Linked DNA regions of Saccharomyces cerevisiae S288C. The gene in region 2 interacts genetically with the main gene of each other region. Each region holds a gene or a part of one and is shown on either strand. Other genes may lie near its edges.

Region 1 (6,312 bases), on a different chromosome or scaffold from region 2:
GGCGTTCAATATCTCATTTTTTTTTGTTCGGGGTAACGAGGTTCATTGTTGCAAATAGCACGACCAAACGAGCGGTATGATACAAAGCACTGCAAGTCATAGCTGAGGTAAAAAAAAAAAGAATGAAGATCTCATTGTTTGGGTTAAATTACTTTCAAGAGCCTCTTTTTTAGGCTCGGTTGGTTAAAAGAGCAAGAACCGAAACACTAGTGCATCAATTTTTATAACAATTTTGTAATTATGTTGATAATTGGCAGTAAAGTTACAAAATACACACTAATTAAAATATTGAACACTTACAATATAAAGCTGATATCAAAATAAATATCGAACAATAAATACAACTCTCTCCAATATCAATATACTGCCGTCGTTATTTAAAAAATTAGCCCACCTGGGAACATTATAGAAAGAGATTTGTTTTTTGGTCTGGCAATGTGTCATAATCAAGCTCTTTGCAATATACATCCCCAACTCATATATTTGTATACAGGAAGAAGAATCGACCACCATCTATCGACTAGCATATTATCATATACGGTGTAAAAAGATGACATAAAAGATGAGAAACAGGGTAATCCCAACAATTGTCTCAATATTTACCTATTTCTCACATTGTCACCGCTCGAAAGTGCATTTTATATACGTTCTTTTGTGACGACTACTTTTGGCGGGAATCTTAGCGCCTTAAATGCAGTGAAAGATTACTCTTTTGAGTTATTGCCTGAATTTTGTCTGCAAAATTGTTATTATTCAGGAATTTAGAATAATTCAACTCTGGAGGCCTGCGCTGTACTACGGGCTCAAGTAATACCGGAGTGTCTCGACAATCCTAATATAAACAGTCTTAGGGAAGTAACCAGTTGTCAAAACGGTTTATCAGATTAATTCACGGAATGTTACTTATCCTATATATTATATAAAATATGGATCATACTAAATGGTGGAAGCGCGGAACCTTGGATCTAAACTGTTGGAATAAGAATCCACTATCGTCTATCAACTAATAGTTGTACTATCAATATATTATCATATACGGTGTTAAGATGATGACATAAGTTATGAGAAGCTGTCATCGAAGTTAGAGGAAGCTGAAGTGCAAGGATTGATAATGTAATAGGATAATGAAACATATAAAACGGAATGAGGAATAATCGTAATATTAGTATGTAGAAATATAGATTCCATTTAGAGGATTCCAATATCATCGAGGAGAACTTCTAGTATATTCTGTACACCTAATATTATAGCCTTTATCAACAATGGAATCCCAACAAGTCTCTCAAAATACACCCATTTCTCATAAACCAATTGTTCAGGCATTTATACGTTTAGATAGCCCAGCTATAGAAGGCGGAGTTTTACCTCATGTTGCTCAATCTGTTCGTTTTCTTAGGTTTCATATGTGTTCTATGAACGTTCAGGATAATGTATTGTCATGCTGACGTATCCCATTCTGAGATGTAACGTCTGTACAAAACAAAGCTTCAGTAGCTCAGTAGGAAGAGCGTCAGTCTCATAATCTGAAGGTCGAGAGTTCGAACCTCCCCTGGAGCATTTTTGCCGAGCACGGTACTTTTTTTTATTCTCAGTAAATGAAATCCAAGGGCTCATTTATTTGAGAAAGTAAATAAGGTATTAGAGGTAATAAAGTAACCATGGGCCAAGAAGACATATTCATAAACTTATGAAAAAACTTTGTAGGTATTAATAACTTATGGGTAAATTACTATCTATGAATGAATATTTACTATTTACTAGTGCTCATCTGGATATTAATTTAGACTTTTCAACGTCTCTCTTATAATATTTGTACATTTATTAACATCATCATCATTAAATCTAGGCTTGCCATCTTCTTCGAACATATCTTCGTCAGTAAACAGGGTGCTATCAGTAGGTTCTTTAATGTTATTATTTTCCACCAATTCCGTCAGTAAAGTTTCGTCAAAGTTTTTGGGAAACGGCCAGCCTTGGTCTTTTATTATCTGTATCAAAGCCATATGCCTGATTTCAAAGCCCCCGAAGAGTATCTTATTGTACCAGGAGCGTGCTCCTTTTTCGTCTCTCATTTTGACATAATGCATTACCATTGCAGAACAAAATTTAAACGTTAAAGGCACCCCATTTTTATGCATCACCTGTAGCAATTCTGATAGTTCAGCCTGCGTTAATGTATGATTTTTATAGGCTACTATGGAAAAGGGACATAGCGTGGTAGTTAAAACCACTTTTTTGGCGAAAGGTTGAGAATAAAAATCCAGAAGAACATTGTAGGCCAGCCTTGGTTCACGAGCTTGGAATCTAATATAATTTAGGAAAACATTGAGGATTCCGGTATCATTTCTCCAATACCTGTATTTATGAGCTTCCTCGGAAAGAAAACTCTTGTACTTGTAATATAAATCAAGAAGACAATTCTTGAATTGACCACTTTCCAGTGAAACAGAACTCGAAGATAAAAGGCTTCTATACAGTTCAGTTAAAATTGGAACAGTCACTGGTGATCCTATTCGCATTGTGTTCGGTAGAATATTATTTTTGTTCTTCAGCTCTCTTGCTAACGTAGGAGCTGTCAAAGTCGTTGATTTTGAATGATAGAGCCACCCCCAAATCCCTAGGGCATTCAGAATATTAGCAGACGCCTTTGAGCTGTATGATGAGAGGAGATATTTACACACCAATTTCGGGTCACGAAAGGCTTGAAAAGATGCAATTAATTCACCCATTAAAAACTCCTTGAACAATTTATATTTCATCAGTGGGCTGCTTTGTAAGCAGGAAATTACATTGAAAAGCTCCTCCTGCCTATTAGATATTCGGAGCAGATTCAAGTAGTGGTGAATGGGAAAATTCAATATGTGTTCGTTTCCATCAATGTGATTAAGCAATCCTGAGCTTACAATGAATTTCAGTTCCTCTTGAAAGGTTTTGATGAATAACTCAACATTTCCACTTTTCAAAAGGTAATAAAGTAAGGTATTGTTGAACTTGACATAACGCAGGTTCTTTTGCTTTGCTCCATCTTTACCAGAATAACAGTGCTGTTCCAACTTCTGTAGTAGAGCTTGAATAAATACTTTAATGAACCTAAAATTTTTCGCCTTAACAAGGCCATTTACTAGAGCGATTAAGCTGTCAAATGTATGCAACTTCAGAACTTTTTCCATTATAAATTTTATGTTTGTCTCATCATGCAAAAATATTTGGAACGTGGCTAACTGCCTCTCCATCTCAGTTCCTTTTATCAGCCTATTGGTAAATCTCGTACAGTAGTTAGAAGTAAAGAGAAGAACATCACTTTTCAAAAGAAAAAGATAGTGATTAAAAGATTCTGATTTTGGAATATGATACCAGAACCATCTGTGGACCTCACCTGGTAGATAAAATCCAATTTTTCTTGCCACCTCTGGGTATAACTCGTGTTGATGCAAAATGATATCATATAAAAGTTTCTTCTTTTCATTTTCTGAGCAATTATTTATATGCAGGGCATTTCGTAGAGATTCAAAAAAAGAGGCGTATTCAGTTACTCCAAAAGTCTCACTTAATACAGTTTTCAATTGTCGGAGCTCGTATAAACGCTTCTGAACATTTTTCGAAGATCCGCTCTTCCTAGAACATGGCACCTGTCGTTCAAAATCGCCAAACTGCAAAGGTTCTGAACGATTTGATTTAATTTTCAATGGACAGTTTTTCGTAGATAAATGGCGCAGATTTGTAATAGGTAGAATTGTGTATGTCCCTGCGCTACCCATATGTTTAAACAGCGGTGAAGTGACCATTTGAGCCAAAGGCTGGGAATAGACACGGCATATACATTTTAACATGCCAATAAGAACATTAAAGTGAACGCTTGGAAGATTTGAAAGCCCATTCTTGCCAGTACGCCAATAAAGTGTGTCGCGCAGAATAGATCTTCATGTAATTCCTTTTTCCCTTTTATGCAATCTATAATGTTAATCAGCGTAGATCACTATATACGCTTTTTTTTTTTTTTTTCAGCTCCGATTAGAGAGCAAAAGAGATGTAACATCGATCCTGCTATAATTAGAATACAAGTGTTGATCTTTAATTGTACTGTTTCTGCGAAAGCTATCGAGCATTTGGCTGTATTCCACTGTCCATTGTATTTTTAACTCTCCTTTTTATCATTCTGAAACATAGAGCTGTTTTGACAAAATTCAGTTTTTTCTCAATTAGTGCTTTCATTCATACGTTCGTTACAAGCTTTGAATTTTAACTTTATTTTCGGGCTTCCACCTTTGCTTCATTATTTTACTTCAGCTCTTTAGCTTTCTGTGACATTCAATTTTATTGTATGACAGCACGTCGTTTGATTAATATAGTTCCTAATACGTCTAAGCTAGACCCTTTAAAGGAGGAGGACTCAACGCATCTGAAACAAAATCAACCTAAGAAGTTTTCCACAAAGGAGTTGATGCTTTCAGAATATACCGAACGCAAAAGTTGCAGCCTTCCGTTGTCTAAATCCCGATCAGGCAGTAGTGCATCCAGTAGCACTACAGGTTCGAACGGAAAGAATATTGGAACAAGACGCCCTAGCTCCAACCTAGATTTCAATTTCGCTAGCCAAGATGTTGTTAAAAATGTATTAGGTAATAATAATCCACACGTACCCACAGCGAAGTGCATTAGGCCAATATCAGATGATTCTATAGGTACATCGAGCACAGAGATATTTTCTTCATCGCACTCAAATACGACATCTGATTCTTTATGTACATCAGATATAAGCTCAGAAGAGGGTGAAATAGCAAACAGTAAGATGGAGGATAACTGCTTCTTCAAAAGTATGAGAGAAGCTGACCATAGAAGCAATATTACGCCCTTAAAGAAAAGCCGACCGGGATCAATACTACAGAAAACACGTACAGCAAGTAGCGCTGATAAAACAATCTGCTCAATGAGTACCATAACTACATGCATTCCATCTCGTCAAAATTCGGTGTCAACTCCTAAACTCTCCAGGACAGTAGGGCTGCCTGGATCGAGCAATACAACCAACAGTATAGCCGCATCACAAACTTCATTCATAAGCGAGAATGACTCTCCTCTTAAACATCATTGCATGAGTACCGCAACTATCCAAGAACCAAAACTCATGCCGATCACAAAAACGCCGTATGTGCATTCCAATAGTACTTCTGTAATATTACCATATAAAACAACCCAACTTACTCCTTCTCAACGTTACCGTTTAAGGAAAGAGCAAAATGACCAATCTTTGCGTAAAGCCATAAAAATGAAAGAAAAATTTTATGAAGATCAAGACGTTAACTTGGAACTTCAAGAGGGCGATGTCGACGGCTCGTTAATTTGGAACATTCCAATGGCATCTTTATCGACCAGTTCTTTTTTAACATTATCTAAGTTTAATAGAAAAGAAATGAGTTTAGATTCAGCGCGGGGGGATGAAGAGATATTAATACAGGAGAACAATTGCGAAGGCAAACAACACTCATCTTCGGCTCTCTGTGTGGACAAAACTTTCCATCAGGTTCATAGTACTAGAAAACATACATCAAATTCAAGTAACACTTTAAAAGAATCATGTCTGGACTATAAGGAGCTTCCGCCAACATGCATTCCTGGTATATCTCCTGTGTCTGATTCACAGTACATCCAGGATACAATGAAAAATCTCTCCCAAATATACCTGCATAGTTCCGAAAAAATCTCCAAAAGTATTCTTTCTGGTCGTTCAAGATCTGTACAGAGTTTACCACTGGAATTTAAAGAAGCCAGTAGTCAGGGAATGGAAGACCTAATGCTAGTTTCAGAGGACAAACTAAAGGCCGTAAGTCATTTCCGTCCGAGTTGGCTCCCGCCCAAGGATTTCAAAGAGAGGAAATTGCAAGATAAACAAATCTACAAAAATATCGACTTAGCATCAATGGAAGAGTTGCAAAAAAATAAAGAACGTGACGAAAAAGCCAAAAAGAATGAGCAGAATAAGGTCAAATTCCAGCATTTACTGGACCGAGGCATTACTCGTAACTCGTCATTAAGTGAATTAAAGAAAATTATTTGGGAAACACCTTTGATATCTAAAGTACGGCTTCAAATATATAGTCAACTTCTACAAAGTGACAATTGCTTGATAACAAAATGTTTTATTGAATCATTTGAGGAAGTAATGCAGCTACTCAACAAAATGGATTTTCCCAAAGATAAAGAATTTGAAATAAGACAGCTTATTGAACACGATGTACAGGAAAAGGTTTTTTATAAAAATGGAACAGATAAGCAAGTGGTTTCTGACTTGATGCTATTACTGCAACTGAAATC
Region 2 (5,378 bases):
AGAATCTGTCGAAGCCTACTTAGTCTCTTTATTTGAAGATACCAACTTGGCTGCCATTCACGCCAAGCGTGTCACTATCCAAAAGAAGGATATCAAGTTGGCTAGAAGATTAAGAGGTGAAAGATCATAGTTTGTTGATTGTCATCAGTTTTAGTAAAAAACGAACAAAAACACAATAAAATATAAATCAATATATTTAGGTTTACTGGGTTCTTTAACAGTTGTATAATAGTTATTTTTTATTACAAAAATATAGGTTTTAATAAAAAAAAATAGGGTTCTATTTGTTTTACATTTATTGATTTGTTTTTCCTGGCGATACCCTCGAAAAAAGCCAGGCCTTGTAGGAGGCAAGATTTATGGCTTTCCATGTGGTTAAAGAAAAATTGCAGCAGGAAGATATTCATTCATGAGTCAGTTATATAATCGATATATAGCTACATATTAAACAACTTGAAGCCGCATACGTGGTAGGTGTCTCATTTTCAATTCAAAATATTTTAAACAGAACCGGAGATGAAGAACCACTTGTCAATAGACTTGTCAATTGGAGCATCTGCCTTTGGAGAAGCTGGTGGGATGGCATCAGAGGCAGCCTTGGAGTAGGTTGGGGTGTCAGGCAAAGTAACATTGGTCAAATCAATACCCTTGCTGTCAGAAGACTTACCAGCAATTAATTGTTTCCAGGAGTCATGTGTTTCCTTGATGATATCCAAAGCGTACTTCTTGTTCTTAGCTTCACCGGAGAAGGCAAATTGGTTTTCTGGCTTACCATCTGGGATTTTGTAAATTCTGAACCATTCGTTAGTAGCCCTCAACAGACCTGGGAAGTATTTCTCAACATCCTCAATGTCGTTCAATTTTGGGGCTAATGGATCGTTAATATCAATGGCAATAACTTTCCAATCGGTCTCACCTTCATCCAATAAAGCCATGATACCTAGAGCCTTAACTTGCTTGACTTGACCAGTGTAAGCAATAGTTTCACCAATTTCCAACACATCAATTGGATCGTTGTCACCAACTGCCTTAGTTTCTGGGTGGCTTACGTTTGGGTCTTCCCAAGTTTGTGGGAAAGCACCATAGTTGTGAATGTAACCATGGTGAGGGAAACAGTTTCTAACAAATCTCAACTTGCCCTTCTTGGTGTCTTGGATGATTGGGTTCAAAGTTTCTTCCTTGGTGATTTCTAACTTGGCGTTGGTCCAACGTGGAATTTCAACAACCATGTTGAAAATGTTGTTTTCCTTGTCAGCGTACAAGGGAATGTCGTGGAAGGCAGAAACTGGCTTACCATCCTTTTCGATATAAACTTTGTATTCCAAGGTGTTCTTGGCACCAATTTGTCTGGTAGTGTAGGTCATTAGTAAATTGCGCGGCGGGATATCCTGTTCTATAGACCTAAGGGACAACAAATCAAAATAGATGATTAAGAAAGTAAGTATTCAAAAACAAGTTGTAAATGAACTAACCTTCCTAACTTCGACGCGACCTTAAAACGTCGAAAAAAAACGAGAAAAAGTCATCATGAGACTATCGTATCTAATGACTGTGGCTTCTCCCAACAACCTTAGCGTCTGCGATGACGATATTTTGAAGAACAGTCAAATCCGTTTGAATAGTGCGCCACACAGGGATAATAATAGCACATTGGCATCTCCTTCTGTGAATGAAACACTTCTACCTGGGCTTCAAAGTCCCGCAACCTTTTAGTTACATAAAATTCGGCGGCTAAATCATGATATTATATTGATGGGTAATGTAGCGTTCAGTAAAACGGTTCCTATGTATTACTATCACGTGGGTGGGGAAGACCACATTCTTAGAGAAGAGTAATCATTTTAGCAGATTATTTTTACCTTTTTCAACTCATGAACTCATGTTCAAAGGTACAATATATTACCCTTTCTTCAAAGTATCCGAATGATTTGAACCGCACTCTGAGGGAGCCATCAAATTCTATTGAGCGACTTCGAATCGAACAATCCAATTAAATCAGCCTTTAGCGCCATATTTCTCCTTGTATCCATTGTTTACTTCTCCCTTGTATCTTGTATATGAGAATTATGGGAATAAGATAATTGTTGGGATTCCATTGTTTTCAAAGGCTGTAATATTAGGTACACAGATTATACTAGAAGTTCTTTTCGAGGATATAGGAATCCACAAAAGGAAATCGATAGTTATACATAATAATATTATTGTATCTTACTTCCTTTTATATGTTGTCACTCATTATTGTGTCGTGCATTCCATTAGATTGGATGACTGTTTCTCAATCTTTATGCCATCCTCTTACACCGCATGTGATATAATAGTAACATGAGTGCTGCGAAATAGATGATATTAAAATTTCATTCCAACAAAGTTCCATATATATCCATATATATATATATATTTCACGAGGATAATGAGTTAAAATACTATGTAAAGGTATTGTGGTTCATTTTTCTTTTATCAATTTTTATCCAAGTTTTTCTGATCTATAACATGTCCAATACACTTTTTCGAACTATAACCGCCAACAAATTTATCTTATAGACGAGAAACACTTTTATGATATCGATGTTCTACACCTACTGCCGATAACACCGTGTTTTCACTATTATAGCATATACCATTTTTGTAACCAATGTGTTGTTGTAATTCTCCGCAAGGCATATCCCAGATATTCTTATATGGCCCATTTCCACTTCGTTGAAGCCTCACATCAAAAGAGCAATCTTGAGATAATTTCAAAACCACACACATCGCTGCAGTTTCATAATATCTGTCATCACTGATGCAATAATTAAGTGACGAAATTATATCATTATTAACAGCTGTATTATTATTATAATCAAGACAAGCTGAATTTGATGCAAATATATATTCCCATTCAGTGCCGTTTCTTTCGAATTTATAGAAATCACTTCTTTGTAGGTAATTGTTCTGGCTTACTTTGAGCTTATTCATGTTAAAGTAATTGTTGGAATAAAAATCCACTATCGTCTATCAACTAATAGTTATATTATCAATATATTATCATATACGGTGTTAAGATGATGACATAAGTTATGAGAAGCTGTCATCGAAGTTAGAGGAAGCTGAAGTGCAAGGATTGATAATGTAATAGGATAATGAAACATATAAAACGGAATGAGGAATAATCGCAATATTAGTATGTAGAAATATAGATTCCATTTTGAGGATTCCTATATCCTCGAGGAGAACTTCTAGTATATTCTGTATACCTAATATTATAGCCTTTATCAACAATGGAATCCCAACAATTATCTAATTACCCACATATATCTCATGGTAGCGCCTGTGCTTCGGTTACTTCTAAGGAAGTCCACACAAATCAAGATCCGTTAGACGTTTCAGCTTCCAAAATTCAAGAATATGATAAGGCTTCCACTAAGGCTAACTCTCAACAGACAACAACACCTGCTTCATCAGCTGTTCCAGAGAACCCCCATCATGCCTCTCCTCAACCTGCTTCAGTACCACCTCCACAGAATGGGCCGTACCCACAGCAGTGCATGATGACCCAAAACCAAGCCAATCCATCTGGTTGGTCATTTTACGGACACCCATCTATGATTCCGTATACACCTTATCAAATGTCGCCTATGTACTTTCCACCTGGGCCACAATCACAGTTTCCGCAGTATCCATCATCAGTTGGAACGCCTCTGAGCACTCCATCACCTGAGTCAGGTAATACATTTACTGATTCATCCTCAGCGGACTCTGATATGACATCCACTAAAAAATATGTCAGACCACCACCAATGTTAACCTCACCTAATGACTTTCCAAATTGGGTTAAAACATACATCAAATTTTTACAAAACTCGAATCTCGGTGGTATTATTCCGACAGTAAACGGAAAACCCGTACGTCCGATCACTGATGATGAACTCACCTTCTTGTATAACGCTTTTCAAATATTTGCTCCCTCTCAATTCCTACCTACCTGGGTCAAAGACATCCTATCCGTTGATTATACGGATATCATGAAAATTCTTTCCAAAAGTATTGAAAAAATGCAATCTGATACCCAAGAGGCAAACGACATTGTGACCCTGGCAAATTTGCAATATAATGGCAGTACACCTGCAGATGCATTTGAAACAAAAGTCACAAACATTATCGACAGACTGAACAATAATGGCATTCATATCAATAACAAGGTCGCATGTCAATTAATTATGAGAGGTCTATCTGGCGAATATAAATTTTTACGCTACACACGTCATCGACATCTAAATATGACAGTCGCTGAACTGTTCTTAGATATCCATGCTATTTATGAAGAACAACAGGGATCGAGAAACAGCAAACCTAATTACAGGAGAAATCCGAGTGATGAGAAGAATGATTCTCGCAGCTATACGAATACAACCAAACCCAAAGTTATAGCTCGGAATCCTCAAAAAACAAATAATTCGAAATCGAAAACAGCCAGGGCTCACAATGTATCCACATCTAATAACTCTCCCAGCACGGACAACGATTCCATCAGTAAATCAACTACTGAACCGATTCAATTGAACAATAAGCACGACCTTCATCTTAGGCCAGAAACTTACTGAATCTACAGTAAATCATACTAATCATTCTGATGATGAACTCCCTGGACACCTCCTTCTCGATTCAGGAGCATCACGAACCCTTATAAGATCTGCTCATCACATACACTCAGCATCATCTAATCCTGACATAAACGTAGTTGATGCTCAAAAAAGAAATATACCAATTAACGCTATTGGTGACCTACAATTTCACTTCCAGGACAACACCAAAACATCATTAAAGGTATTGCACACTCCTAACATAGCCTATGACTTACTCAGTTTGAATGAATTGGCTGCAGTAGATATCACAGCATGCTTTACCAAAAACGTCTTAGAACGATCTGACGGCACTGTACTTGCACCTATCGTAAAATATGGAGACTTTTACTGGGTATCTAAAAAGTACTTGCTTCCATCAAATATCTCCGTACCCACCATCAATAATGTCCATACAAGTGAAAGTACACGCAAATATCCTTATCCTTTCATTCATCGAATGCTTGCGCATGCCAATGCACAGACAATTCGATACTCACTTAAAAATAACACCATCACGTATTTTAACGAATCAGATGTCGACTGGTCTAGTGCTATTGACTATCAATGTCCTGATTGTTTAATCGGCAAAAGCACCAAACACAGACATATCAAAGGTTCACGACTAAAATACCAAAATTCATACGAACCCTTTCAATACCTACATACTGACATATTTGGTCCAGTTCACAACCTACCAAAAAGTGCACCATCCTATTTCATCTCATTTACTGATGAGACAACAAAATTCCGTTGGGTTTATCCATTACACGACCGTCG
Region 3 (5,970 bases), on a different chromosome or scaffold from region 2:
AAAAAATACTTCAATCCGAATGCACAACTCATTGAAGATCCTTTGGATAAACCGATTCAGTATAGAGTGTGCGAAAAATGTGGGAAACCCTTAGCTTTGACAGCAATTGTAGACCACTTAGAAAACCATTGTGCGGGAGCATCTGGAAAAAGTAGCACAGATCCAAGAGATGAGAGTACTAGGGAAACGATACGAAATGGAGTAGAATCAACTGGGAGAAATAATAACGACGATGACAATAGCAATGATAATAACAATGATGATGATGATGATGACGATAACGACGACAACGAAGATGATGATGACGCTGATGATGACGACGATAATTCCAATGGTGCCAATTACAAGAAGAATGACTCTTCTTTTAACCCTTTGAAAAGATCCACATCTATGGAATCTGCGAACACACCAAATATGGACACGAAAAGATCGAAAACTGGGACTCCTCAAACCTTCAGCTCTTCCATAAAAAAACAAAAGAAAGTCAAACAAAGAAACCCAACTGAAAAGCATTTAATTGATTTCAACAAACAGTGTGGTGTAGAGTTGCCGGAAGGTGGTTACTGTGCACGTTCGCTGACATGTAAGTCCCATTCAATGGGTGCAAAGAGGGCTGTCTCTGGTCGTTCCAAGCCCTACGACGTCTTGCTAGCAGATTATCATAGAGAACATCAAACAAAAATTGGTGCAGCTGCTGAGAAACGTGCTAAGCAACAAGAATTACAAAAATTACAAAAGCAGATACAAAAAGAGCAGAAAAAACATACTCAGCAACAGAAACAAGGTCAAAGGTCTAAGCAAAGAAATGTGAATGGTGGGAAATCAGCCAAAAATGGTGGTAAGAGTACTGTACACAATGGTAACAATATCAATGAGATAGGACACGTTAACCTAACTCCTGAAGAGGAAACAACACAGGTTCTAAATGGGGTATCCCGATCTTTCCCACTGCCACTAGAGTCAACGGTACTATCGTCAGTTAGATACAGGACTAAATATTTTAGAATGAGGGAAATGTTTGCTTCCTCCTTTTCTGTGAAACCAGGATATACATCTCCAGGTTACGGTGCGATCCATTCTCGTGTAGGATGCTTGGATTTGGATAGAACAACAGATTACAAATTTCGTGTTAGGACTCCACAGCCAATTAATCACCTCACAAACCAAAACCTCAATCCGAAACAAATACAAAGACTACAACAACAGAGAGCTCTACAGGCTCAGCTTCTTTCTCAACAACAGCAACAGCAGCAACAGCAGCAGCAACATCACTCACCCCAAGCGCAGGCCCAGGCCAGTACCCAACAACCTACTCAAGGTATGGTGCCCAATCATTTCCCCGGCGGGGCAACGAATTCATCATTTAATGCCAATGTGTCGAGCAAGCAAATTCAGCAGCAGCAGCAGCAGCAGCAGCACAAGTCTCAAGACACAGGTCTCACGCCGCTGGAGATACAATCACAACAACAAAAACTACGACAACAACAACTACAACAACAGAAGTTTGAAGCTGCTGCTTCATATTTAGCCAACGCTACCAAATTAATGCAAGAATCAAATCAAGATAGCCATTTATCTGGCACCCACAACAATAATAGTAGTAAAAACGGTAACAATAACCTCATGACGATGAAAGCCTCCATAAGCTCTCCCAATACTAGCGTAAATAGTATCCAATCTCCCCCTAGTGTCAACAGCGTCAATGGCTCCGGGCAAGGTGTATCTACCGGTATTAATGTCTCTGGCAATAACGGGAGAATTGAAGTAGGTATTGGAAATTCTGTGAACCCCTACAATGGCAGAATAAATTAATTGAATCATGCACGTTATCCAGCATGTTCACGAAGTGAGTAATAAAAAATTATTCGCCGAAGTAACATGTACACGTCTATGTTTGTGGACAAGTTACGCTATTTGCATTTAGAGATTTCTTCTCCAATGTAAATTATTTTTTCTTCGGGGGGTATACATTATTTATTTAAGTAGACATTATATTTCTTCATAAGGGTAGGAGAGAGCGAATACAAATGCCCAGTAAATTCCCCATAAGTAGTTCTTAAAATATAATACCATAAAAGTGGCCATAAATAGGAAGGGCCATGGATTATTGGGTAGAATTTTTATAAATGCCATATGCAAAATAAAATTAGAGAATGAAATACCGAATATTTCCCAAGGATAATACTTTTTTTCTTTCCATATGACTTTCTCGACGTTTTCTTCAAATGACTGAGTCATTGCTTCCCTAGAAAAGTATTTCTTGACTCTTAGCGGGCCATTCCTCTCAAAGTTCACAGAACCGTTCTGCAAGATCTTTCTGCTTTCATCAATTGCAGTAGCCCATTGAATAGGGACGGCAGGTTTTAGCCACCCAGTGGCAGAACTTTCATTTTCACCAGCAACGTAAGATTTGATAGTCTCCAAAGGACCTCCATTGTTTACTGCTAGTACAGGCTTACCTAATTTCATGGCTTCTAAAGGAACAATACCAAAGTGCTCATATGCTGGTGTATACAATAACATTTCGGTTCTTTCGAGCAGTAATTCTTTCAGAGATGATGAAATGGAAGTTAAAAATATAATTTTACTATTATTGGTTTTGAATGACTCTAAATCGGAGACGCGCTTTATTTCTTGGTAGTATATGGTTGTATGGGATAATTCGTATTCATCGGCCAGAGACTGTAGTTCCTTCAAGTACTCCACATTTTCTGCAACCCTCTCGTCATAACCACCGCAAATAACTAACTTAACGTTGTCATTGATTTGATCTTCAGATAACGCAAAAGCCTTTATAGCCAGCGCAACATCCTTTTTTTTCTCAAAACGATTTATACTTAGGTAAAATCTATCGCCTTCGTTAAACACTGTTTTGAAAAATTTCTTGTCAATATCTTCAATTTCGATTGTTGATAAATCCACGCATGGATAAATGACGTCTGGATCATTGGATAAATACTTGAACGTTTGGTGGAACGTATTCTTAGTGAAATTTGAATTTACCACAACAGTATCGGCAGCACTCACGGAAAACTGTTCTATTAAGTCAAATGGTAGTCTGTATATTTTCTTCAATAGCCCAGCTCTTTGAGCCAATAATTGGTCGGGGAAATGACAATAAAACATCAAAGTGGCAGAACTAAAGATATGCAGAAGCGGAATACATGTAGACAGTTGATCAATGATAATTAATTGGTACGCATTCACTTTTTTCTGTAGGATCAATTGAATAACTAAATAAAGCTGTCTAATTGTTGCGAAAACAATAAAAAAACGACCCAAAAAGTTTGTCGGTAAAAAATCACCATAAACTTCGACTTTTAATTGGCCGTTTTTAACTTCTTCGAAACAATGTGATTTATCACAGTGACTAGTATAGATGATTACACTATGTCCTTGTTGCTGTAGACCTAATGCTGCATCGACGACTAACCTTTCAGCGCCCCCAATACCTAGGTCTGGATGAATAAAAGCAATCGTTCTTTTATCCTTTTCAATCATTTTTGCTTGTCTAATCGACTCTTTTTTATCTGTCTTTACTACTGTATCTATTTCGTGACTTCTTAAATGGCGAACGTAATCTTTTGATGTTAAAATGAATACATCATTTATTTTGTTGTTCGCGCGTTCATCTAGCCAGGCACTTGTTTATAAAAAAAGAAGCTATACGCAAGGCTCTCGATCTATAAATTGTATCTGTGATTGTGACCCTTTCGTATATATGTTATAATATTTACAAGAATATACATTTATCATGATAATCTCTGGTGCTTTTTGATGATCTTTGGAAGAGCTTTAGCCCAAGATTTTGTTTTACTGTCAGTTAGCATAAATACGCGGCCGCCCTGTTTCATTCTAGCAGTTCTGCCCACTCGGTGTATCAGGTCTATTGACGTTTTGGGTACATCGTAGAGAACAACATTCCGTACACCTTTGAAATTGAGCCCTCTTGCCATGAGGTCGGTGGTTACGAGTACATGCAAAGACTTGTTACTGGGTGCGGTACCATTAGAATTTGTGTTTTTCAATTTGCCGATGACGATGTTGGAATCAGGAATTTCAAATTTCTTCAAGGAAGTGGGAGGTGAAGTACTCTGAGCAACCACCTCCGAAAGTGGTCGCGGTGGTGATAAAAAGGGCATAATTTTCTCGGATCTTTCTTCAAATGTATCTTCACCAGTTAAACCGATGGCATTATGACCGAATTTCTTATTCAATAGGTTAACAATTTCAGGAACATTCTTTTTTTCGTTAACAAAGATAATGCATCTTTTCTCGAACCCTGGTTCCGTGTCATCATTTGAAATAGCATATAAAGTTTGTGCCAATGCTTTGATCTTGGATCCCTTGAAAGGACTTAAGGCAGAATTTATAACTTTAAAGTCCAAAGCGAATGGTAACTTATGCAGTCTGGGTGTCATTATAGGAACCACTGTAGGAAATAGTCTTTGCATTGTTTTATTAAACTCTTGAGGAATAGTAGCGGAACAGAAAATAAGGTGATTAATGTTAGGAATTCTCTTTATTGCGGAGTGCGTTTCTTCAAGCCATGACCTATCTAGAAGTGTGTCAGCTTCATCTAGTACTACGAAACCCACTTTGGACAAGACTTTATCAGGTCTAGTTATCATTCTTATGGAGAACAGGTTCAGTAGTTTTCCCGGAGTAGTGACTAAAATATCTATTCTATTTTTAATGTTCTCTAATAAATCACGATATGATGTGGCCTTGTCCCACTTGAAAGAGTTTAAGCCTAACAAGGTTTTCGTCTTGGAAACAGTTTCGTATACTTGGTCAACCAATTCATGCGTAGGCACCAGTATGATGGACCGAATCAGAACGTTTTTTCTTAATGTTTCCCATAATTCGGGAGTTTCCAACTCCTGTCTTTTCAAATAGTCTATTAAAGGTATCAAGTAGGCCATGGTCTTACCTGAACCTGTCTCAGCGGCAATCGCATGTATTTGTAACTTTGGATCCATTAAATTTTTGGATATTCTCTTAATGGCCACTGTTTGAATGGGACTCGGTATTATATTTTCACTGGTTTTTTTCCTACTATCTTGTAGCTTCAGGGACTCTTTGGAAATGATTTCTTTCACAGCGTCTCTGACAGGTGGAAGTATAAGCAATTGGTCGAAATTCGATATTTTTTGAATGAGTTTATTCGTACTGTCCATATTCATCTCGACGTCTTTTTTCAATCCACCATACTCTCCAAAGTTGAATGCTTGGTCAGGGTCATTCTTTTTGTTACCTTTTTTGCCTTTGGCCTTCTGTTTTCGGTTTTTATTACTACTGCCTGTAGGCACTGAAGCTAATGGAGAGTTTCCTTTATGCTTTGTTCTTGGGCCTCCCGCATAAGAACGCACTCCTATCTTGAGAAGCACGGGGAAAGACCACTGTGGTGAAATTACTGGCTTGAAAAAAAGCGACATTTGTCTTATTATACTTTAATCTGATCTGAAGAAGTATTTCTACTCATCACTAATATCTATTCCGCTATTATTATAGTTGTAATTTATGATTCCGTGGTAAGTGATTTGAACTTTTGCTTCCTTTCGAAAATTTCAAGAATATGGTTTGGTTGTGCTGTGCAAGAGCGGTTGTATTGCGAAATAGAACCCATCGAGAAAAGAAAATGAAAAAGACGGCATTAAAGACTAGCTCTGTTTTAAGACAAATATTTACAGGCCAGAGAATAAAGAGATACTCGTATGTATGAATTGTAGCCCCTTACACACATATGTATATATATCGATGTGAACATAGCATTTATTAACAGTTCTGCTCAGTACAAATGGTAGTAGTACTAGTGATGAGGTTACTCCGACACCGTTAACAGCGGTAGTAAAGAGAAGGCCGAGTAAACATAAGGTCGTTATGCTCTTAGGTTACTGTGGCAGCGGATACTATGGAATGCAATACAACCCACCACACAAGACGATTGAAGGTGAGATTCTCACCAAG
Region 4 (4,587 bases), on a different chromosome or scaffold from region 2:
TAACCTACATCATGCGTAGGCTTAATATTAAGCGGAGAAAATCGGCAAGCCCAAGCTTATATTCATATTATGGAATACAAAAGGCGAAAAAGAAAATTGACTAGTAACTAAATTGAAAATTAAATGGCAAATGATGGGATTCAGAGGAATGACAACAGAAAGGGTTTTAAAACTGTACAGTTCTCGGCTTATTCTAAAGAAATTGACGTCATAATGAAAAAAATATCATTCTTGGAAAGAAACATTACCCAACAACTAGATACTCTTCCTCATTTTCCAAAAACCTTACCACCAAATCACAAAGATTGTGTAAGTAGAAAGCACAGGGCCAGGCGAGGTTGGAGTAGTCAGCTGAAAAACTTGCTAGGCATTTACTCCAAAGAGGAAATTTTTACTCTGGATAATTTAGCTGCAACACTGCATGATCAAGTTTTAAAGTTACAAGCTACACTTTTTCCCAATGCCATACTGAAACAGGTTCATCTCGACAATGCCAACATAGAAAACAAGAGAATTCTGAAGGAAATTACATATAAATACCTTTCCAACGAAAACTGTAAAGAGGAGAACAAATTCGGAACATTCATCGTAAAGAGAATTTTTTTTGGTGACTTATCACTCGGGGTTTCCGTGTTAATCAACCGTATTGCTTTCGAATCGGCCACATCATCCATTATGGTAGTGAGAAGTTCATTTATTGAAAGTGATTTCTTTTATGAAGATTATTTGATTTTCGATTGCAGAGCGAAACGACGAAAAAAATTGAAGAGGAAAATTTTGTTTATTTCCACTACCATGAATTTCAATTACCAAACCAAAGTCTAAGCCTGTAACAAACGTTGATTGATACCAATATTTTTTCTCTTTCATTTATCTCTCTGTATATCTAAATAGCTATACTATACATCGAATAATGCTTTCAAGCAGATGCCTTAACGTGCTCCACCACTTCGTCACAAAATTGACCTAACTTAGAGGAGTCCTTACATTCCGCATAAACCCTCACCGCATCCTCCGTACCACTGGCTCTGACAAAGCTTCTTCCCATGGGATACTTGGCTACCACAAGATCTATCTTGTCTTGCAACCCCACTGGATTGAGCAATTTTCTTTCCTGGTCCGTGGTTTGGAAAATTGACCTATCAGGAACGATGCACTTAACCAGCTTGTTGGGCAAATCAGTATACTCTTCATCCCAATCCATTGGCGACATTTTCAAAATCGCCAAAGTAGCAAGGACAGCAAGCATGTCTGAAATAGCATCTCCCACGGTCTGATTAATCAATTCAGAGAAACACTTCAAAGTTCTCAAAGCTAACGTATCACCATTTAACTTGGACTTGGATAATTCAGATTTGATAGTTCGATGAAATTTTTCGCTGAATATAATCGTACCATGTCCATTTGCTTCGAAATAAATGCCAATATCGTACTGAGTGGCAGCTTCATGATGCAAGTGTTTAACACCTGTCTTAGTGCAAGACACGGGACAGTGCAACGTATTTTTTATGTAAGCGGTGGAACTGCCGTTTGCATAGGCAGTTTGCACAACACCAATCTTCAAAGAATGTTCTAGGTGTGCCAATTCTAGTTGTTTAGACAAGAACTTTGCAAACAAAGTGGAAATTTTGTCACCATCCAACAAATGAAATTTTGATCCTGAGTCGACATAGTAGAACACAACCCTGTCTGCGTCACCATCAAAGGAGCAATATAGCGAATCAAACGAGGATGGAGAAAGACCCTTGGGTAATCTCTGGTTAGTCTTCACATAATCCGCACCGCATTCAAAATTCAACAGTTCTGGAACATCGGACCTGTCGTTGATTACCTCAACTTGCTCCGCTGGCACGTCCCAATCTTCGGAGGCCAGTAGTTTTTTCAACTGTGGACCACCGATACCATTGGCTGTGTCTATGAACAATTTTGGGACAGACAGCCTCTTCTCCAGCTGATACGTGGCGAAGAGCTCGTTGAAGGCTCCTATAAAGAACGAATAGTAGTCCTGTTCTGTGGCAACTGGCGCTGTGTCTCCTTCCAGTTTCCGCCTGTTGGACAAATCAGTAATGTAATGCAATTGAGGCGTAGTGACACAGCCTAGGTCCAAAACTTGCGCGTGGAAGACGCTGGCCATGGAGGAAGTCAAGCAGCGCAGCAAGTATGGACTACTTTCCCTAGAGTCTCTCCCAACCACGATGTGAGGCACGACGGTTGTATTCAAATCAATCTTTTCGTGTTCAATCAGCTTGGCCAACTCAACACGAAATTCTTCAAAATTAGTGGCAAAAGAGGCCGCATTGGCCAACTGCATGGCATATGGCTCCCATGTGGCCAAAAGCATCGATCCGTCTGGTTCCACGATCTTGACCCCGTTGTCCTGGTATGGGTTGTGCGACGCCGTGATCATCACCCCCACATACTGACCCTGAAGCTTCAGCGACCTGAGAACCGCCAGTATACCAGTACTGAACATCACCGTATCCAAATTCTTGGCCAGCGTTCTGAATCCGGCCGTACCGTAACTGAACTGCACATTCTTTGTGCGGCACGTGTCATCGTAGAGTTTGCACAATTGCTCGTAATCAACCTTCATCGTCTCTAAGCTTACTGCTGACCTTTGCCTTGGTCCTTGTACTTGTCTCGATTGCTGAAACCATTAACGGTTTTTTGTTCTTACTTAATCTTTTTTTTCCCGACGACGCAAAATGTCAGAAAAGATATAAATAGAGCAACGTTTCCTGCTACATGAAACACGCTGGCATATAGAAGAACTTCAACGAGCGAGGCTCTCTGAACAATCTGCTAATCGTGCAAGTAAGGGTTCTCGTGACAGTTCACCGTGTATAAACAGATAAACAGATAAACAGTCAGATATGCTTAATTTTTAACTGTAGGCTGTGCCGACATGCCATTTTATGCGGCTCACTTCTAACAAAAGTGACCATGACGCACAAGCAAGCAAACAGCCAAGTAAGGAAGCAGACAGCTTCACAGCACACACACACCGTTGTGTACGAAAATCCTCTGCAGAAGAGTGTATATGCCACTCATCCACACTTCCGCAGCGCAGTACGTAATGCGGTATCGTGAAAGCGAAAAAAAAACTAACAGTAGATAAGACAGATAGACAGATAGAGATGGACGAGAAACAGGGGGGGAGAAAAGGGGAAAAGAGAAGGAAAGAAAGACTCATCTATCGCAGATAAGACAATCAACCCTCATGGCGCCTCCAACCACCATCCGCACTAGGGACCAAGCGCTCGCACCGTTAGCAACGCTTGACTCACAAACCAACTGCCGGCTGAAAGAGCTTGTGCAATGGGAGTGCCAATTCAAAGGAGCCGAATACGTCTGCTCGCCTTTTAAGAGGCTTTTTGAACACTGCATTGCACCCGACAAATCAGCCACTAACTACGAGGTCACGGACACATATACCAATAGTTAAAAATTACATATACTCTATATAGCACAGTAGTGTGATAAATAAAAAATTTTGCCAAGACTTTTTTAAACTGCACCCGACAGATCAGGTCTGTGCCTACTATGCACTTATGCCCGGGGTCCCGGGAGGAGAAAAAACGAGGGCTGGGAAATGTCCGTGGACTTTAAACGCTCCGGGTTAGCAGAGTAGCAGGGCTTTCGGCTTTGGAAATTTAGGTGACTTGTTGAAAAAGCAAAATTTGGGCTCAGTAATGCCACTGCAGTGGCTTATCACGCCAGGACTGCGGGAGTGGCGGGGGCAAACACACCCGCGATAAAGAGCGCGATGAATATAAAAGGGGGCCAATGTTACGTCCCGTTATATTGGAGTTCTTCCCATACAAACTTAAGAGTCCAATTAGCTTCATCGCCAATAAAAAAACAAACTAAACCTAATTCTAACAAGCAAAGATGAAGTTAGAAAATACTCTATTTACACTCGGTGCCCTAGGGAGCATCTCTGCTGCTTTGGTCATCCCAAATCTTGAAAATGCCGCCGACCACCACGAACTGATTAACAAGGAAGATCACCACGAGAGACCCAGAAAAGTGGAATTCACTAAGGACGATGATGAGGAGCCATCTGACTCTGAAGATAAAGAACATGGAAAGTTCCATAAGAAGGGCCGCAAGGGCCAAGACAAGGAGTCTCCGGAATTCAACGGTAAACGTGCAAGTGGCTCTCATGGGAGCGCCCACGAGGGAGGAAAGGGCATGAAGCCTAAGCATGAAAGTTCCAATGATGATGATAATGATGATAAGAAGAAGAAGCCTCACCATAAGGGTGGCTGCCACGAAAATAAGGTGGAGGAGAAGAAGATGAAAGGTAAGAAAGTCAAGGGCAAGAAGCACCACGAAAAGACGTTGGAGAAAGGGAGGCACCACAACAGGCTGGCTCCTCTCGTGTCCACTGCACAATTCAACCCAGACGCGATCTCCAAGATCATCCCCAACCGCTACATTATAGTCTTCAAGAGAGGTGCCCCTCAAGAAGAGATCGATTTCCACAAGGAAAACGTCCAGCAGGCACAACTTCAATCCGTAGAGAACTTATCTGCCGAAGACGCTTTCTTCATTTCTACTAAAGACACCTCCTTGTCCACCTCT

What was found.
Region 1: mutations in IPP1 (region 2) and ATP22 together harm fitness more than expected from each alone (negative genetic interaction), as found in Saccharomyces cerevisiae (one large-scale study listed by BioGRID).
Region 3: mutations in IPP1 (region 2) and ALG2 together harm fitness more than expected from each alone (negative genetic interaction), as found in Saccharomyces cerevisiae (one large-scale study listed by BioGRID).
Region 4: mutations in IPP1 (region 2) and SOM1 together harm fitness more than expected from each alone (negative genetic interaction), as found in Saccharomyces cerevisiae (one large-scale study listed by BioGRID).

Annotation. Positions count from the first base shown.
Region 1 is NC_001136.10:1,174,345-1,180,656, forward strand, and holds ATP22 (Atp22p), read right to left. Parts: upstream 3,831-6,312; coding exon 1,776-3,830; downstream 1-1,775. Other genes in the region: SBE2 (Sbe2p), read left to right, coding at 4,322-6,312. UniProt on the Saccharomyces cerevisiae protein: Translation factor specific for subunit 6 of the mitochondrial ATPase. Required for assembly of the CF(0) component of the ATPase.
Region 2 is NC_001134.8:256,612-261,989, forward strand, and holds IPP1 (inorganic diphosphatase IPP1), read right to left. Parts: upstream 1,365-5,378; coding exon 501-1,364; downstream 1-500. Other genes in the region: HHT1 (histone H3), read left to right, coding at 1-130; YBR012W-A (gag protein), read left to right, coding at 3,258-4,580.
Region 3 is NC_001139.9:377,771-383,740, forward strand, and holds ALG2 (GDP-Man:Man(1)GlcNAc(2)-PP-dolichol alpha-1,3-mannosyltransferase), read right to left. Parts: upstream 3,502-5,970; coding exon 1,990-3,501; downstream 1-1,989. Other genes in the region: deubiquitination module subunit SGF73, read left to right, coding at 1-1,812; MRH4 (ATP-dependent RNA helicase), read right to left, coding at 3,753-5,438; pseudouridine synthase PUS2, read left to right, coding at 5,884-5,970. UniProt on the Saccharomyces cerevisiae protein: Mannosylates Man(2)GlcNAc(2)-dolichol diphosphate and Man(1)GlcNAc(2)-dolichol diphosphate to form Man(3)GlcNAc(2)-dolichol diphosphate.
Region 4 is NC_001137.3:41,258-45,844, reverse strand, and holds SOM1 (Som1p), read left to right. Parts: upstream 1-3,220; coding exon 3,221-3,445; downstream 3,446-4,587. Other genes in the region: SDD1 (Sdd1p), read left to right, coding at 124-825; phosphoacetylglucosamine mutase PCM1, read right to left, coding at 920-2,593; HHY1 (Hhy1p), read right to left, coding at 2,885-3,193; PRB1 (proteinase B), read left to right, coding at 3,892-4,587. UniProt on the Saccharomyces cerevisiae protein: Non-catalytic component of the mitochondrial inner membrane peptidase (IMP) complex. IMP catalyzes the removal of signal peptides required for the targeting of proteins from the mitochondrial matrix, across the inner membrane, into the inter-membrane space.